2 linked regions of the Bombyx mori genome follow. The protein of the gene in region 1 purifies or fractionates together with the protein of each later gene. This does not show direct contact. Links are inferred from orthologs where the notes say so. Each region holds a gene or a part of one and is shown in the gene's direction. Other genes may lie near its edges.

What was found.
Region 2: the proteins of DNA-directed RNA polymerases I, II, and III subunit RPABC4 (region 1) and DNA-directed RNA polymerase III subunit RPC2 purify together in Homo sapiens (affinity purification with mass spectrometry; 3 studies listed by BioGRID and IntAct, with this or other methods). This does not show direct contact. The link is inferred for Bombyx mori from reciprocal best matches to the Homo sapiens genes POLR2K and POLR3B.

The regions. Positions count from the first base shown.
Region 1 is NC_085111.1:12,248,061-12,256,359, forward strand, and holds DNA-directed RNA polymerases I, II, and III subunit RPABC4, read left to right. Parts: upstream 1-2,572; 5' UTR 2,573-2,765; coding exon 2,766-2,829; intron 2,830-3,478; coding exon 3,479-3,571; intron 3,572-4,237; coding exon 4,238-4,260; 3' UTR 4,261-4,410; downstream 4,411-8,299. Other genes in the region: uncharacterized protein LOC119628526, read left to right, coding at 601-1,269; uncharacterized protein LOC101737452, read right to left, coding at 8,287-8,299. UniProt on the Homo sapiens protein: DNA-dependent RNA polymerase catalyzes the transcription of DNA into RNA using the four ribonucleoside triphosphates as substrates.
Region 2 is NC_085116.1:7,719,101-7,727,863, forward strand, and holds the start of DNA-directed RNA polymerase III subunit RPC2, read left to right. Parts: upstream 1-2,442; 5' UTR 2,443-2,669; coding exon 2,670-2,744; intron 2,745-3,122; coding exon 3,123-3,454; intron 3,455-4,038; coding exon 4,039-4,151; intron 4,152-5,083; coding exon 5,084-5,259; intron 5,260-5,692; coding exon 5,693-5,880; intron 5,881-6,404; coding exon 6,405-6,789; intron 6,790-6,863; coding exon 6,864-7,227; intron 7,228-7,298; coding exon 7,299-7,757; intron 7,758-7,834; coding exon 7,835-8,629; intron 8,630-8,763. UniProt on the Homo sapiens protein: Catalytic core component of RNA polymerase III (Pol III), a DNA-dependent RNA polymerase which synthesizes small non-coding RNAs using the four ribonucleoside triphosphates as substrates.

The DNA.
Region 1 (8,299 bases):
ACAAAAACATCAGTCAGTACTGTTAGGCGTATTATTAATGAAGCGAAGGGCTCTAACTTGCTCGCCGTGTTTCGTACTCCAGGTAAAAAAAGATCAGGGAAGAAGAAAGTTACCGGAATTGATAGTTTCGACCAATCTGCAATAAAAAGATGTATTCATAATTATCACATAACAAACAGCGAACTTCCTACCGTCGAAAGACTTCGTAAAAAATTGAAAGAAGATATAAATTTTAATGGCTCGGAACGAAGTTTACGACGAATTATGAAAGAGCTAGGCTTCAGATGGAAAAGAACAGAAAATAATCGGAAGCTATTAATTGAAAAAAGTAATATTCGACTACTAAGGATCGAATATCTCCAAAAAATAATTAAATATAGGCAAGAAGGAAGACCGATAGTGTACACCGATGAGTCCTATGTCGACTCATCACATGCAAGTGGTATGTCGTGGTCAGATGGATCAACTGGGGGTTTAAAAAAACCAATTTCGAAAGGACAGCGTGTAGTAATAGTGCATGCTGGCTCCGAAGATGGATTTGTTCCCAATGCCCTTCTTTTGTTTAAAGCTGGCACAAAATCTGGTGACTACCACGATAACATGAACTATTTGAACTACGAAAAATGGCTGCGTTGTCAATTGCTACCAAATCTGCCACCAAATTCCGTTGTAGTAGTCAACAATGCGTCATATCACTATAAACAGTCTGACCCCGCTCCAACTGCCAATGCCAAAAAAGTCTATATGAAGAAATGGTTACAAGAAAAAGAAATTCCATACGATGAAAACATGTTGAAACCCCAGCTTTTTAGCTTGATTAAAGCACATAAGGAACAACACAAAACATACAGCATTGATAAAATTTTATCAAACCACAACCATTCAGTGCTTCGCTTACCTCCATACCATCCAGACCTCAACCCAATTGAAATGGCTTGGGCAGCTATTAAAGGGTATGTCAGTAGCAAAAATGTCGACTGGAGCACTGGCAAAGTAATAGAGCTAGTGAAGGAAAAGGTCGCGGTGATGGGTGCTCCGGAATGGGGTAGAATATGTCAAAAGATAAAAGATATTGAGGCGGAGTATGTAAAAAGTGATCATGTGGTAGATTTAGTCACTGATGAGTTTGTAATTTTTGCTGACGATGATTGCGACACGGATGAAGAAAGTAGTGATGATGATGATGATGGTCATGATTATGATAGCGAAAAAACAATTAAAAATACCAGCTCAGCTTCAGCTGATCCAAGACCTGGCACCAGCTCCTAGTTTTGACCTAATGGAAGGAATATCTATTTTACCCCTAGATTAAATTACTACAATTATTAACCTGTATTTTTTGTTCATGTACTAATAAATATATAAATAAATACATATTATGTTGTTTTTAATAACTTAACATTTTTGTACGTAATTGTACGATGCGCGAACTTACCCCCACTACGTCAACTAATGCTCAAGAAGTTTGCCGAGTATTAAGCGAATAGGCAGGTGCAGGTAGGGAAAAAAATGAAAAAATATTTATTTCTTTGTTTACTATGTTTGTTTTTTTAAGGGATTTTATGACCTGGTAACTAAGACCTTTAGGTCAAGTCTTATTTTAATTTTAATGATAACTTTTTTATATGAAAAATGATATTATTAAATGAAATGAAGTTGATTATTGTGAAACATGGCATGAAATGAAATGAAAACGAAATGAAATGAGAAAATATGGGATGAAATATAATCTCAGTAAAATGGTGGTCATTTACTAAGATTTTTCAGTGGACTTTTTGGAGGATCCCGAGAAGTTACGTCCAGCGGCTTTGTTCCATTTTCCCACATTTGTGCACTTTCACAGATATTAAACTGCTAATAAACCACCATTATTACACATTTAAACCCGAAGAAACACTAAATAGACAAAATATAACAAATCACACAATATCACTCCTCGCGTTCCCGCCAAAAAGTCTGTTTTTCTATGTTTGGGAGCTTAATGCACAGATTAGCTAACTCAATCCATAAATAAAATGTAAAAAAATATGCCATTTATTTGCTTTACGGCTCACTGAATTTGGTCCCCTTTTTTAATTTTCGATTTTTTTAATTTTTAATTATTTGTTCGTCGTTTGTTCGTTAATGTTCGCGCGTAACAAAAAGGTAGTAAATACGGCCGTCGGCCATTGCCATCTGACTGACAAAACCGGCGCATGCGCAATGTAGGCGTGAGGTGATAATTTGCTTATTAGATATAAAATAATTAATAATTTCGAATTTACTTGTTTTTATGATCGAACAATCACCAATAGTCGTCGAACAAACAATAATTGATCAAAATTAATTAATCTGAGCAATAAAAACAAAGATATCTAGTAAGAGGGGCCAACTGAAGGGTGATCATTTGTTTAATTAATTATAAATAAATAAAAGACGAACAGATAATTTTACATTCAAACATTGACGATCAAACGACGAACAAATAATTAAAAATAATCCTCGGTTCCCCTCCAATGTCCCGATGATTTTTTCTTTTAAATTTCCACTCCTTTTTTTACGTATTTTTTTCTTCAACAAGACAAGCCCTCTTTTGAACAAAACGTTTTATGGTTTAAGTTCCCTTTGCGGCTTAATTAAACAAATCCAAAAACCATAGATTCTACACACAAAATAACAATCCAAAGCATAGATTATACACTTAATATAAAGCTTAAATCAAATTGGTGATTTAAAATAAAACACATTTTTTATTATTATTTAATTTTTCTCTATTTTAGCACATAATGGCTGACACAACTGGGAAAGAGCAATCAGTTACTAAAGTGCCAATGATATATGTTTGTGGAGGTACAGTGTAACCAAATAATAACAAAACTTCTATCACTTTGTAAAACACTAACACAAAATAACCTAATAATTGTTAGGTATCAGCATACCCCAATAATTGAATATTTTTTTTGTATTTCTTTTTCTCTTGATTTATGAACATTTTTTATAGAAAAAAGAAAGAAACTACTTTTAAAATGTTCTTACCGATAACACTAAGCTTGTCAATGTCTACTAAACAAAGAATTAATAAATCAGTTAATTTGTCTTTTGTGTATAGTAGATTATAAAATTATTCACACTGTCTTATAACATTGTATAAATTAAGGCGTTTTGTTTAATGTGTTATTGTTTTACTATATTTCAAATGGGGAATGCATCTGTATAAATATAAATGTTCTTTAGTAAAGCTAAAAGCCGTAAAAGCTTAAGTGCTTTTAATAAAACTTGTTAATATTAATATTAAAATTTAAAAAACCTAAACTTAAAAGTATTAGAAAAATGAAATTGATTCAATTGAGAGTAAATTATATTGTTTGCCCTTTTCTACATTATTGTTTTTGCCGATCATCTACTTCAACTGTTTAAATGTTGGTTTCTTTAATAAATGCAATCCTGAAACTATAATATGGGTCTGCAAAACAAATGATGCTTTCATTATCATTTTCAGAATGTCACAAAGAGAATGAAATCAAACCAAGAGATCCTATTAGGTGCAGAGAATGTGGTTACAGAATAATGTACAAGAAAAGAACAAAAAGACGTATCCTTTTGATTCTATAAATATATTCTTAAAGTAAAGATTATAGGACTAGGATACAGCCTAGTGATTTTAATCAGTAGAAAGGTATTGACAGGTATCACCCATATTTAATTCCTTCATTGTGGAAGTGATTCGTGATCACATTTCGAGAGTATATTTCTTTGGATATTGGTATATGCAATTTGCACATTTGCATGGTTGCACAGCTTGACACAACTACACCATCTGTTTTATCCTTTAGATCACATTGAGCTTGCAAGAAAATAAATGTAATAAATGAGTCGACTATTATCAAAGGCGGCAATCTGACTTTTGGACAATGATTGGTAAATCAGAAAAACGAATTATTGACTTTGTATTCCATTGGCAGTCACAAAACTCTTCGGAACGACATCTTAGATAAATAACAGGTTAACTATTAACCTTTATTTAATGCAGGTTTTGAACCGTATTCTTTGAAGGAGACGATTATATTCAAATAAATCTGTATTGACATATCAATAAAAAAAAATTGTCCAAATGTACAGATTGCCACCTTTGATAATAGACGACTCATATCTGTTAAAATCTTCAGAAAATTACCCTTTTTGTAGTTTGTGTTGATTTTAAATTCATCATATTTTTGTTCGTAATATTCTGAAAAATTTTCCTTAAGTAAGAATTCAGTGGTTGTGTTTGACGCTCGGTAAACGAATTCTGGAAACAAAACCCTAGAAGATAAGTTCGGTGGATACATCATGCACAGAAGAGTGAAATAAATTTATAATAAGGTTAATGTGTATTTTTGTTACTTTGTCTATGCTCTAATAATACTGACCAATGAAAAAAAATATATACAAGGTAGTTTTTTTATAGTAGATTTATAGATCTACATCATCACTTTACATTATATACTGGTGGTAGCCCATAGACATTAAAACATGAATGCCACCTACCGCCATGATATATGTGTTCTAAATTGTACCCAATAGATATAAGTAATCTGAATGATTTGAAGTATCAATCAACTTATTTGATGTTTCTAAATGAACTACTGCCTTAAAAAAAAAAGACTTAAGTGCAAGAAAAATATGTAACTTTATAGATAGATATCAAATGAGTTCATTATCTTTTTTTTTTATTGCTTCGATGGGTGAATGAGCTCACAGCCCACCAGGTGTTAAGTGGTTACTGGAGCCCATAGACATCTACAACGTAAATGCGCCACCCACCTTGAGATAAAGTTCTAAGGTCTCAAGTATAATTACAACGGCTGCTTCACCCTTCAAACCGAAACGCATTACTGCTTCACGGCAGAAATAAGCAGGGCGGTGGTACCTACCCGCGCGGTCTCACAAGAGGTCCTACCACCAGTAATTACGCAAATTATAATTTTGCGGGTTTGATTTTCATTACACGATGTTATTCCTTTAATCGTAAACATGGGTGGCGGCATTTACGTGTGACCGTTGGCCAGTTTTGCACACGACACCGCTAGTGGCGCCAGACGCAAAGTGTCAATATGGAGTACTTTCGTAAAACTTCCGTTAAATAATAACAACTAATAAAAAAAACAAAAGGGAAATATCTCAGTGTATTTTAATTATGTAACTTCATCATTATAAAGTTTTAACAATTTATTAAAATTATTACCTCTCATAATAAAACACCAGAAAATGTATGTCTAAAATTTTACAATAGCCACAAATATACATTTTTTTTCGATCCATAAAAACTATCAATAAATAATTGTTAGGACTCACGACATTAATATCAAATTTAATTTTTCACACATTCCTCTAAGTCAACTTTTTGCTTACGTTATATAATAGTGAATATAAACATGCTATGGGTATACACATGCATAAAGAAAATTTGAATAAAGAGATTTAATTCCATTCTATAGTTACCAACTCACTAATCATAATCAAAAAGTTTATAGCACATACAAATAACATTCTTGGAAACAAAATACAAAATCATGACAGTTTATGATCAAGTAACTTTACATGTTCTGTCTCGAATTTATATTATGTCCCAATTAGAGAACTATACAGATGACGTAATAAATTTCAATTTATCGGTAGTTGAAATATAAAAATTACATAGAAAAATATCAATTAAAAATCATTTTAAACTTGAAATAACTAAATGATTATCTTTAAAAAGCTTATATTTCTATTCGCAAGTGTTTTGAAAATAATAATTATGTATTTATTTAAAATCATACTAGTGGCTAACAGAGGAGATAATTTCATTGAAAAACTAATATGGAAATGAGCTATTTGTATTCTGTAAAATACGCATTTAAATATGTATTTATGGCTTTGCTGAATTAGTAGAGTTGACTTTAGCTACCTATTGTATCACAGAGTCCTCTTTAAATTCGAAGTCAGCTTCTTCATTAAAAACATTTGGCATTCGAGGACTAAATGTACATACATTTGTCATGTTTAACTTTCAAGCACCCATTATAACAAAGGGGAAAACCCTAGCTTGGGGACGTTTAATATGAAACGTTTAGTACCGAACCATTGAAATTTTATTAGATGGATTTAATCAGTTAGAACAACTTATTATTGTAGATAAGACCGCTTACAGGCCACCTGTGTGCTTAGTGCGAGCTTCTGAACGTTCTCGATAACGTAAAAGTTAAGCCAATTTTGTATGCAATTGGAACCGCCCCTAGCGGCAAACGTACGCAAGCGATCCCATTCCATACAAATATGACCTAACTTTTACGCTATCGAGAACGTTAAAAAAACTCGCACTAAGCACACTGGCTTAAATGGAAAAAGAGCCGCTCGCACAACAATGGAATAGCAAAGAATTGGAAACAATTTTATTGGATAGTGCGAGAATTATAACGTCGGATCACATTTTTGAGTAACATATCGAATTTTGATTTTGTTATTTAAATTGTAAACGGTTTGATCTTATAAGTAATGGTAAACAAGGGCAAGTAAAATTGATAGAGTCCCGTCTGTAATGAGAGATGAAAGGATGGATCATGTATGATTTAAAATAATGTGAATAATGACAATACCAGTAAATAGGCATTCAATTGAAATTATATTGAATATTATCATTTTTCTTTCATGCCAATCCGGAATTGGATTAATATTAGAAACATTATTTGTAGATGTGAATTATTTAAGTATGCATGTTATTTTGTTTAAAATATTTATTTTTTTATTTACCGCACTTTATGTCGCCTCTCGAGACTGATACGATTTATCGTTTCCGCTTGAATGTCTATTTCAACAGTTTTTTCAATTAAAACGTATAGCAGATTTTTTGTATAAGTTTTAGAATTAGGAGCCTATAATTATAAATCATTGATTAGCGTCGATGCCTTTCTGTTGCTATAAGCTTCTTGATCATAATGGTAGATTTAGGTTTTTATCGATTATGTACATATATATTTTAATAGATAGTTATTTATTATGGTGGTACTTAAATACATTTTGTACCTTAATAATTATGACAGTCCCGTGATATGATCAGACACAAGATATTTACAAAAATAACTAAGTAGTTTGTTTTTGAAAATTGATATTCCAATATGGTATAGTACAATAGTAGTATAAGGCGCAGTGCAGCAACCCAGTTCGAAAATATTGTAAAAATGTTATTGTAAATCTACATCGTTATTAAAATAGTTTATACAATATATTATATAACAATATAAGACATATATATACTACAATAAAGAAACATAATGATGATATCATATATTTTAAAAATTTGAATTTGATTTGATTGGTATTATTAATAGTGATATTTTCGAACAGCTTGTGGTCTGCAGCTTCAATGAAGCTTAATTTCATATTAGCGCCATAAAGCTTAATTTCTAGAAAAATAGTTTAACAATGAATATATATATACTTTTCAAATAACAGTACATTATATATAAAAAACTAGGCTCTGTAACCTATCCCTTACAAAAAAGACAAAACATGCAGATCATTGATCATTCACACTAATAATTATTTTTACATTGGACTATAAAAATTAAATGAATAATAGTAATGCATAATAGTAGGAATCAAAACTATACTACTATTAATATAATTTTTTTAAATCGGAGAGCCCAGCTTAAACATGTATACAAATTGATTATAACTTTAAAGAAACTAAATTCAATTTATTTCCGTACATTTTTATGGAAGACATTTTTGTTTTTTATTCATATCTACGTTTAGTGTATGGAAGTTGATATGCCAATTGTTTTAAATTTATGGAAGTAGTAGTTACATAGTATAAATATGAAGTGGTAAATATGTCATACAAAAATTCATACAAAAGTGCTGTTCTATTCTATATATCATCCGACTACTCCTATGACAATGTAATATGTTTGACTGATATTTAAGCGTAGTTTAAAAAATGTGGACCTCTTTTTTTTCTGTCGCAATAATATATCCCATCTAGGTCTTCGTTTTCAAATACAATTCAACAAATATTATCTCTGTAGAAATTACAAATAACAGTATTAATACATAATAAGACTTACATTAAAAGCAAATTTAACAAATTTAATATTACGTGGAGATATTTACAAGATACATATTAATATTTTTCGAATTTTTAATGTTAGAGTATGTTACAATCTTAAAGCGTACAATTGTTTTCACACGAATCTGAGTAACCCCAGCTTTAATAATTACACTTAAATTAAAAACAAAATAAAACTGCACATTAAAATACACTATGTACGTAATATAATTTTGGCACTAAATATCTGTG
Region 2 (8,763 bases), on another chromosome or scaffold:
ACCGACGTAACTTGGCGAGTCTGAATATAGCCGCAGGTGAACTTTCGGAAATGTTTTTTTTTTTCTTTTTTTTTTTCCTACCTAAGCTGGTTGCCTTGAGAGGCTATTCCAGCGTAACCTTAACTAGTAGGTGAGCTCACGGGGCTCAAACCTGACGACGTTGCTAACACGAACCCTTGCAAGAGCCGTGCTTCGCAGAATCTACCACCGGATCGGAAACGCGATCCACTGAGAAGATCCGGCGAGAAACTCAGTGGGCTGTGTCTGAGGGTTAATTTGCTCGTCGAGCCCTTCGTCGCAAGCGACGGGTTCGACGAGAACGGTGACCGGTGCTTGAAGTACCTAAAAGCACCGTTAGTGGATCGGAAGGATCCAAATTACGTGTTTTGGGCGACGTCGACTGCTTTCCATTCTTTCCGCAGGATCGGGAATGTAGTTACCGGCGGCCACGATGAGAGGGTTCTCGTGTCGTGCCGCTTTGTCGAAGTGATCCGAACCGTTTTTTTTTTTTCCTGCCTAATCTGGTAGCCTGGAGCGGCTATTCCAGCGTAACCGTGGCTAGTAGGTGAGCTCACGGGGCTCAAACCTGACAACGATGATAACACGAACCCTAGCAAGAGCCGTGCTTCGCGGAATCTACCACCGGATCGGAAACGCGACCCACTGAGAAGATCCGGCGAGAAACTCAGTGGGCTGTGTCTGAGGGTTAATTTGCTCGTCGAGCCCTTCGTCGCAAGCGACGGGTTCGACGAGAACGGTGACCGGTGCTTGAAGTACCTAAAAGCACCGTTAGTGGATCGGAAGGATCCAAAATGACGTGTTTTGGGCGACGTCGACTGCTTTCCATTCTTTCCGCAGGATCGGGAATGTAGTTACCGGCGGCCACGATGAGAGGGTTCTCGTGTCGTGCCGCTTTGTCGAAGTGATCCGAACCGTTTTTTTTTTTCCTGCCTAATCTGGTAGCCTGGAGCGGCTATTCCAGCGTAACCGTGGCTAGTAGGTGAGCTCACGGGGCTCAAACCTGACAACGATGATAACACGAACCCTAGCAAGAGCCGTGCTTCGCGGAATCTACCACCGGATCGGAAACGCGACCCACTGAGAAGATCCGGCGAGAGTGGGCTGTGTTTGAGAGTTATGTCCGAACCGTTTTTTTTTTTTTTTTTATGATTGAGAGATTACTGGTGGCCCGAAGGCCTTTCCAGTTTCACCAGGACAGGTGGGCGAGCAAAGGCTCAGCCAGGAGGGGTGGGATTTGCTAACAGCTGCCCGAGCGCCTCCGAAGGAGACCTAACAACTCAAGAGCAATTGCTTCGCGAATGAATCTACTACCGGATCGGAATCGCGACCCGCTGAGAAGATCCGGTGAGAAGCTCAGCGGGCTGATGCATGGGCTAGGTTGCACGTCGACCTCTTTGTCGAGTTCGACGAGTACGGTTACTGGGGTCCCTAAGCCTGCTCCTAGTATTAGAGCTGAAGGCATCTAATGCAAAGGTTATTGGATCTGATGGATCCGTAAGGACGTGTCTAGGGCGTCGACGGTGACTGGCTCCTGCATGATCAGGATTCGGTGAGTAGTCAGCGGCGGCAACGATAAGGCGATTATCATGACGCATATCCTTATCGAAGTACCGTTCCGACGCTGACTTCATGTATTTCTGGATTGATTCAAGGCCCAGGTCGTCGTGTATTGTCCGAACCGTACCGAGAATTACCGAATTTATACGATGTCAAGAAAAGGGATGTCCAATATGCGTGTTTGAGGATGTTCTTTAATAAAAATAAAGTTTAACTTCTTACGCGCGTACATAAGTACACGCACCCTTTTTTTTTTGTTTATTTAGAGTTTCTTCAGGTTTAAGCGCCTTATTCACGATCCATCACGACTGTACGTCAGCTCAAGGCCGCAATTAATAATAATTATCGACGTACGTCAAGCCTATTCATGATCCTTTTGCATCGTGCATCGTGCATGGCCTTGGCGGGACGTACAGCAAGATGGATCGTGAATAAGGCGCTTTAAATAGGTAATCGGTGGTTTATTAACTGTCTATTATCTGTGAAAGTGCATAAATGTGGGAAAATGAAACAAAGCTGCTGAACGTAACTTCTCGGGATCCTCGAAAATCCACTGAAAAAGTCTCAGTAAATGACCACCGTTTTACTGAGATTATATTTCATCCCATATCACCTCATCTCATTTTATTTCGTTTTAATTTCATTTCATTTCATGCCATGTTTTATATTAATCGACTTTATTTCATTTCATAATATTATTTTTCATTTACCTAAAAAAACTTTTCATTAAAATTAAAATAAGACTTGACCTTGACTTGGTTTTAGTTACCAGGTCATAAAATCCCTTAAAAAAAGTATAGATGGATTTAAAAATTATTTATGGGCACGCTGTATGGGCTTAGATCCCCTTGCCTTTCTTAAAGGAAAAATTGTACCAAAAAAATATCTATGAGTTTAAAGTTTGTAATTAAATGTGCAGAATTGTGCTCGTGTTTGTTCGTTGTTAAAAATTGCACTTATTGTTTACATATGTACTCATCTGATTTGTTCCATTCTATAAAACAATTCCAAGATTCCATCGCTTGGTAAATACGGACAATATGATTTACTGCCGAAGATAGTTCAATATTACAATAGCTTATTTAATTTACATGATGGGCGAACTTAATAAAAAACAAAATGAGTGGGATACCAAAGGATTACGGGACCCTGTCAAAACCCTTGAGGTACTAGCTTTATTACTTTTCTGAATTACTACTATTGTTTTGATACACAATTGAAAAAAAAATACACGAACTATAATATTACTACTAACCAAACAACAAAATCATATAACTGTCTTTAAGATTTTGTTCATTCATTGATATTTAATCACTCCAAAGTTCAATTGTATAGTAACAAAAGTTGTAAGTGACAATATACAGTTGAGTTCAAAACCCTACCAAAGTATGATCATAATTATTTGAATAATAAAATGTATGAATTTTATAGAATAACATCATAAAAATCTTAGAAAAAAATAGTACAATTTACTGACGTCCTGATTTTATCTTAAATTTCTAATATTTCAGCTTAACACTGTTCATATGAATGTTTTCTTTCAGGATAAATGGAAATTAGTGCCTTCATTTCTTCAAGTTAAAGGTTTGGTGAAACAGCACATAGATTCATTTAATTACTTCATAAATGTGGAGATAAAGAAGATAGTACAGGCTAATGAAAAAGTATTTTGTGAATCTGATCCACTGTTCTATATTAAATATTTAAATGCCTATGTTGGTACACCTGACTTGGAAGAAGGGTTCAATATCACTAAGCCAACGACACCTCATGAATGTCGTCTTAGAGATATAACATACTCAGCTCCTATAACTGTTGATATAGAATATATTAGAGGAAACCAGAGGGTGATCAAAAATAAACAACTGATTGGAAGGTAACATCTTAAATAAATGAAGAAATGCATATTCTAATACTAGCAGATGTAATGTTGCTTGATCTATTACTATATCTTGATCTTACTCACTAAAAAGCAGAACATTCCAGGCTTTAAAAAATTCTGTATTATACATATCAAATGAATTTAACATTCTGTACTCCCAATTGAAAATATCCTATCTTAAAAACAATTCAATGAAAAGCTCGACAGAGAAATTATGTTTTATTGTTTGTCCACCCCACCCAATGTAACTCAGTTAAAAATTGATTGACTTATGGGCTGCAACTATTGATGATGTAGGAATTTAAGTAGTTCATCATCTGCCTTTTACCTATCTTCACGACACATGTCTGTCAAAGTATTAATAAAGTAGTCAAAGTAAAAACAGTTTTTGTGTCAATATCAAAGTAATAGTATCACAAATTTTTAACATGTTAATGATTCCTTTAATTACTTTAACATTAGGTCTTTGCTTATGAAGTTTAACAATACTGGCCATTTGAAATGTAATTAAATTATATACCTATTATTAACATCACTCTCATATATCATTTTGAAATCTGTATTTTGATTCTTTACAGAATGCCCCTCATGCTTAGGTCTTCAAACTGCGTTCTTACTAATAAATCGGATTTTGAGCTTGCACAGTTAAATGAGTGTCCCCATGATCCTGGAGGCTATTTTATTATAAGAGGTAAGAAACCAATTTAATTTTATACAACTAATATTAAAAAAAAACTCCAATGTATATAAATGTAAAATGTACATAAAATATTTAAATGTGTAATAATTGTAATCATAAAGTTAAATTTTATTAATTTGTTAATCTGGAGTAAAGTACATTGGGAGCCTTATATTTAGTCAGAATAAAAATAAACGAAAATTTAAATAAATATAATATAAAGAAATATAATAAATAAATATAAAGAAAAACTTTAAGTTAAAAATACATAGAATAAAAAATTTGGCAAGACTTAAAGCATAATAACCTAACATTGACCACATTAAGGTTGCATTTCACACTACATTTGGGTTTTTTTTTGTGGTCTAAATGAATGAAATACTGAGTTCTCTGTGAATATACAGTTATGAGCTAGGTTTCTAGACAAAATAATATGGTTTTAATGAAACACATTTATTAACAGTGCTCTAAAACAAAGTTAAAGACAATCAAATTCAAATTATCATTTTAACGATACTGTAAAAATAACTGCGTTTGAACGTTCAAAGAGATGATCTGATTGAGTAGCATAGCCAAAAAATATGCTAAAATTTATCTAAATTTCTAAAAAAAAAAGAAAACAGTTTTGGGATCCGAACACTATTGGTTTTGATTTCAAGAGTGACAATATTTTATTATTCGATCACTATTGCATACAGTTACATGGAGTGAATTCAGTTAGTTTTATATTGGCTTCATGTACGCTTTTTCATTTATGCAGCCCCTTTAATAGAAGTTCAATGGATGTATGGTTTTTAAAATGAAATGTATTTTTGTTTTTATTTTTCCCTGCACGAGTAGTACCTAGCCCCGTACCCGCTTGACCTTGAGTTTCAGGACACCTGTATAAGTACATATATATGTAGTTTACTTGAGTAATGAAAAACAATTTTTATTGTCTGTAGGTCAAGAAAAGGTGATTTTAATTCAAGAGCAACTCTCTAGAAATCGAATGATTGTTGATGAATTCAAAGGAGCAGTACAATGTCAGGTTACAAGTTCCACACATGAGAAGAAAACTAGAACGAATGTGATTCTTAAACATGGAAAATATGTGCTCAGACATAATGCATTGTCTGATGTATGTTACTACTTAAATCAATTTCATTTAACAAACAATAATCAAAGCTATATATGTATTTTTTACTGGTGGTAGGACCTCTTGTGAGTCCGCACGGGTAGGTACCACCACCCTGCCTATTTCTGCCGTGAAGCAGTAATGCGTTTCGGTTTGAAGGGTTGGGCAGCCGTTGTGACTATACTGAGATCTTAGAACTATATCTCAAGGTGTGTGGAGCATTTACCTTGTAGATGTCTATGGGCTCCAGTAACCACTTAACACCAGGTGGGCTGTGAGCTCGTCCACACATCTAAGCAATAAAAAATAAAAATAAAACCATAATATGTTTTGAATTGGACTTCTTCCCTTCAAAATTACAAAAGCTATTTCAAAAGCTAAAATAAATAATTTCCAATTATGTAGTTTCCACTAATTTGTATTTTTTTATATTCAGGATATTCCAATAGCTGTCGCCTTTAAAGCCATGGGCATATGTAGTGATCAAGAAATAATGCAGCTTGTAGGTACTGACGATAATACAATAAAAAAAATGGCACCTTGTATTCTAGATTGCCATAATTTGAAAATATTTACTCAAAATCAAGCTCTGACTTATATAGGAAGTAAACTAAAAGTAAAAAGGTAAGGTTTCATTTTACATCTAATTTATCACTGTTTAGTGCATATATAAATAAAAATATTTTACTACCCCGCTGTTTCTGTAAGCTTTTTTTGTAATCAAATTACTTAATAGTTACTAATTGTTTTAAATGTTCGCGACTAATAATATATTGAACGCGTTCATAATTTAATTTCGTTAAAAATCTATGCTAAATTGTGATAAAGTACGCTCTTTGTGCTGAGGAGATAGAGAAAATATGTCCAAGGAAAGTAGTCCAGTATATGACAAATTGGGCCTGGAAAAAGATATCTATATAGAACGCGGGAGAAGTTGAAATAAATCCAATTCAGCAGTGAAAGTGTACTTACAGTCTTCCATCCCTTGCGAGCATTCATATAAAAATACCGTTTGATAGATCTAATATGCTTATAGTTAAAAAATAAACGTACATTTAAACCTTAACCATTGCCATTACATATATTTAAATGCTTCCACATTTTCCATACAGTACCTATTAAAATCTATTTTTGTTTTAAATGTAAAGGTATCAAGGTGGAAACACAAAAGTACGCTCACCAATTGATGACGCTCGTGAACTATTAGCTACGACTATATTAGCTCACGTATCGGTTGAGAATTACAATTTCTACGTAAAGGCCATTTACCTTGCGATAATGGTGAAAAGGGTAATTGAAGCCGAAACAAATAAAACTGCAATAGACGATCCAGATTACTATGGGAACAAAAGGCTTGAATTGGCGGGGTCTTTATTGGCACTTATGTTTGAAGATTTATTCAAAAGATTCAACTGGGAATTGAAGAGTATAGCCGATAAAATAATACCTAAAGTTAAAGCTGCCCCCTTTGATGTTGTGAAGCATATGAGACCGGATTTGATTGCTAATGGACTGTTTACAGCCATCTCTAGTGTTAGTACAGTTTATCGATTTCTTATGGGCATTAATTACTCATTATACCATGCTAATAAGATATAATATTTTAGGGCAATTGGACAATTAAGCGCTTTAAAATGGAAAGGCACGGGGTCACACAAGTATTAAGTCGCCTCAGTTATATATCAGCACTTGGTATGATGACAAGAGTAAATTCCCAATTCGAGAAGACCAGAAAAGTGTCTGGACCACGGTCATTACAGGCCTCACAGTGGGGTATGCTGTGTCCTTCCGACACTCCTGAAGGAGAAGCATGCGGTCTTGTTAAGAATTTAGCACTTATGACGCATATTACAACAGAGTGTTCTGAAGAGCCTATTGCTAAGTTGGCCTGTAATGCTGGAGTTGAAGACGTAAGGCTGCTAGGCGGAGAAGAAATAAATCATCCTGCTGTTTACATTGTCTTTCTTAATGGTATTTGAAAAACATTTAAAAAAAAAACTCATTAAAATGTTATCTGTACTTATAGTTTGTTTCCGTTACAGGTAACATACTGGGCGTTTCTCGACAGTATAAGCGGCTGATTAAAGTTTTTAGAATGTTCAGGAGAAGAGGATTGATTTCAGCTTTTGTCTCCATATATCCCAATCATAACCAAAGAACCGTTTATATCTGCAGTGACGGCGGCAGGCTCTGTCGACCGTACATAATCGTAGAAAGAGGAAATACCTTAGTGCAGCAATCTCATTTAAATGAATTAAATAGAGGTATAAGAAAATTCCAAGATTTCTTAAATGATGGTCTTATAGAATATTTGGATGTAAATGAAGAAAATGACAGTCATATAGCAACACGTGAAGTAGATATTGATCCGTACGTCACTACTCATCTAGAAATAGAACCTTTTACGATATTAGGTGTGTGCGCAGGCTTAGTACCATATCCACATCACAACCAGAGCCCTAGGAACACATATCAATGTGCTATGGGTAAACAAGCAATGGGTAAGTCTGAAATATTTTGGAAATTACATCATTTATAATTAAAGTTTATTCACAGAATTAATTATTTAATCTTTTAGGAACCATAGGGTACAATCAAAAAAACAGAATCGATACTCTAATGTATAACCTTGTTTATCCTCAATGTCCAATGGTGAAGTCTAAAACTATTGAGTTGATAAATTTTGATAAACTGCCAGCTGGTCAGAACGCTACTGTCGCTGTAATGAGCTACAGTGGATATGATATAGAAGACGCTTTGATTCTAAACAAAGCTTCGATTGACAGAGGATATGGACGTTGTCTAGTTTATAAAAGTGCGAAAACAACAATGAAGCGGTACAGCAATCAAACATCGGACCGAATTTTGGGACCTTCGAGAGATGCAGTTACAGGAAAAGTAATTAGAACTCATGATGTTTTGGATTCTGACGGCATTGCAGCTCCAGGTGAAATGGTTGAAAATAGGCAAGTTTTAATAAACAAACAGATGCCGCCGGCTACGATAAATCCCGTCACTCAAGGACAACCGCAACAAATTGAATACAAAGATGTACCAGTTACATACAAAGGGCCAGTTGAGTCATACATCGAAAAGGTTATGGTATCTTCAAACTCCGAAGATGCTTTCTTGATAAAAATCTTATTAAGGCAAACCAGAGTTCCAGAGATCGGTGACAAGTTTAGTTCTAGACACGGTCAGAAAGGTGTAACTGGCTTGATTGTGCAACAAGAAGATATGCCTTTTAATGACAGAGGAATATGTCCTGACATGATCATGAATCCCCACGGCTTCCCATCTAGAATGACAGTGGGAAAAACCATTGAGCTCTTAGCTGGAAAAGCGGGATTATTAGAAGGAAAATTCCATTATGGTATGTATATAGGTTACAAGGATATATTATTATTTATGTATCTTAACGTATCGTTTGAATTACGGAAATTTATAAATTTGATAGCATAGATTCTTATTATACGATATTATGGGATGAAGAAATTCATTCGTGAA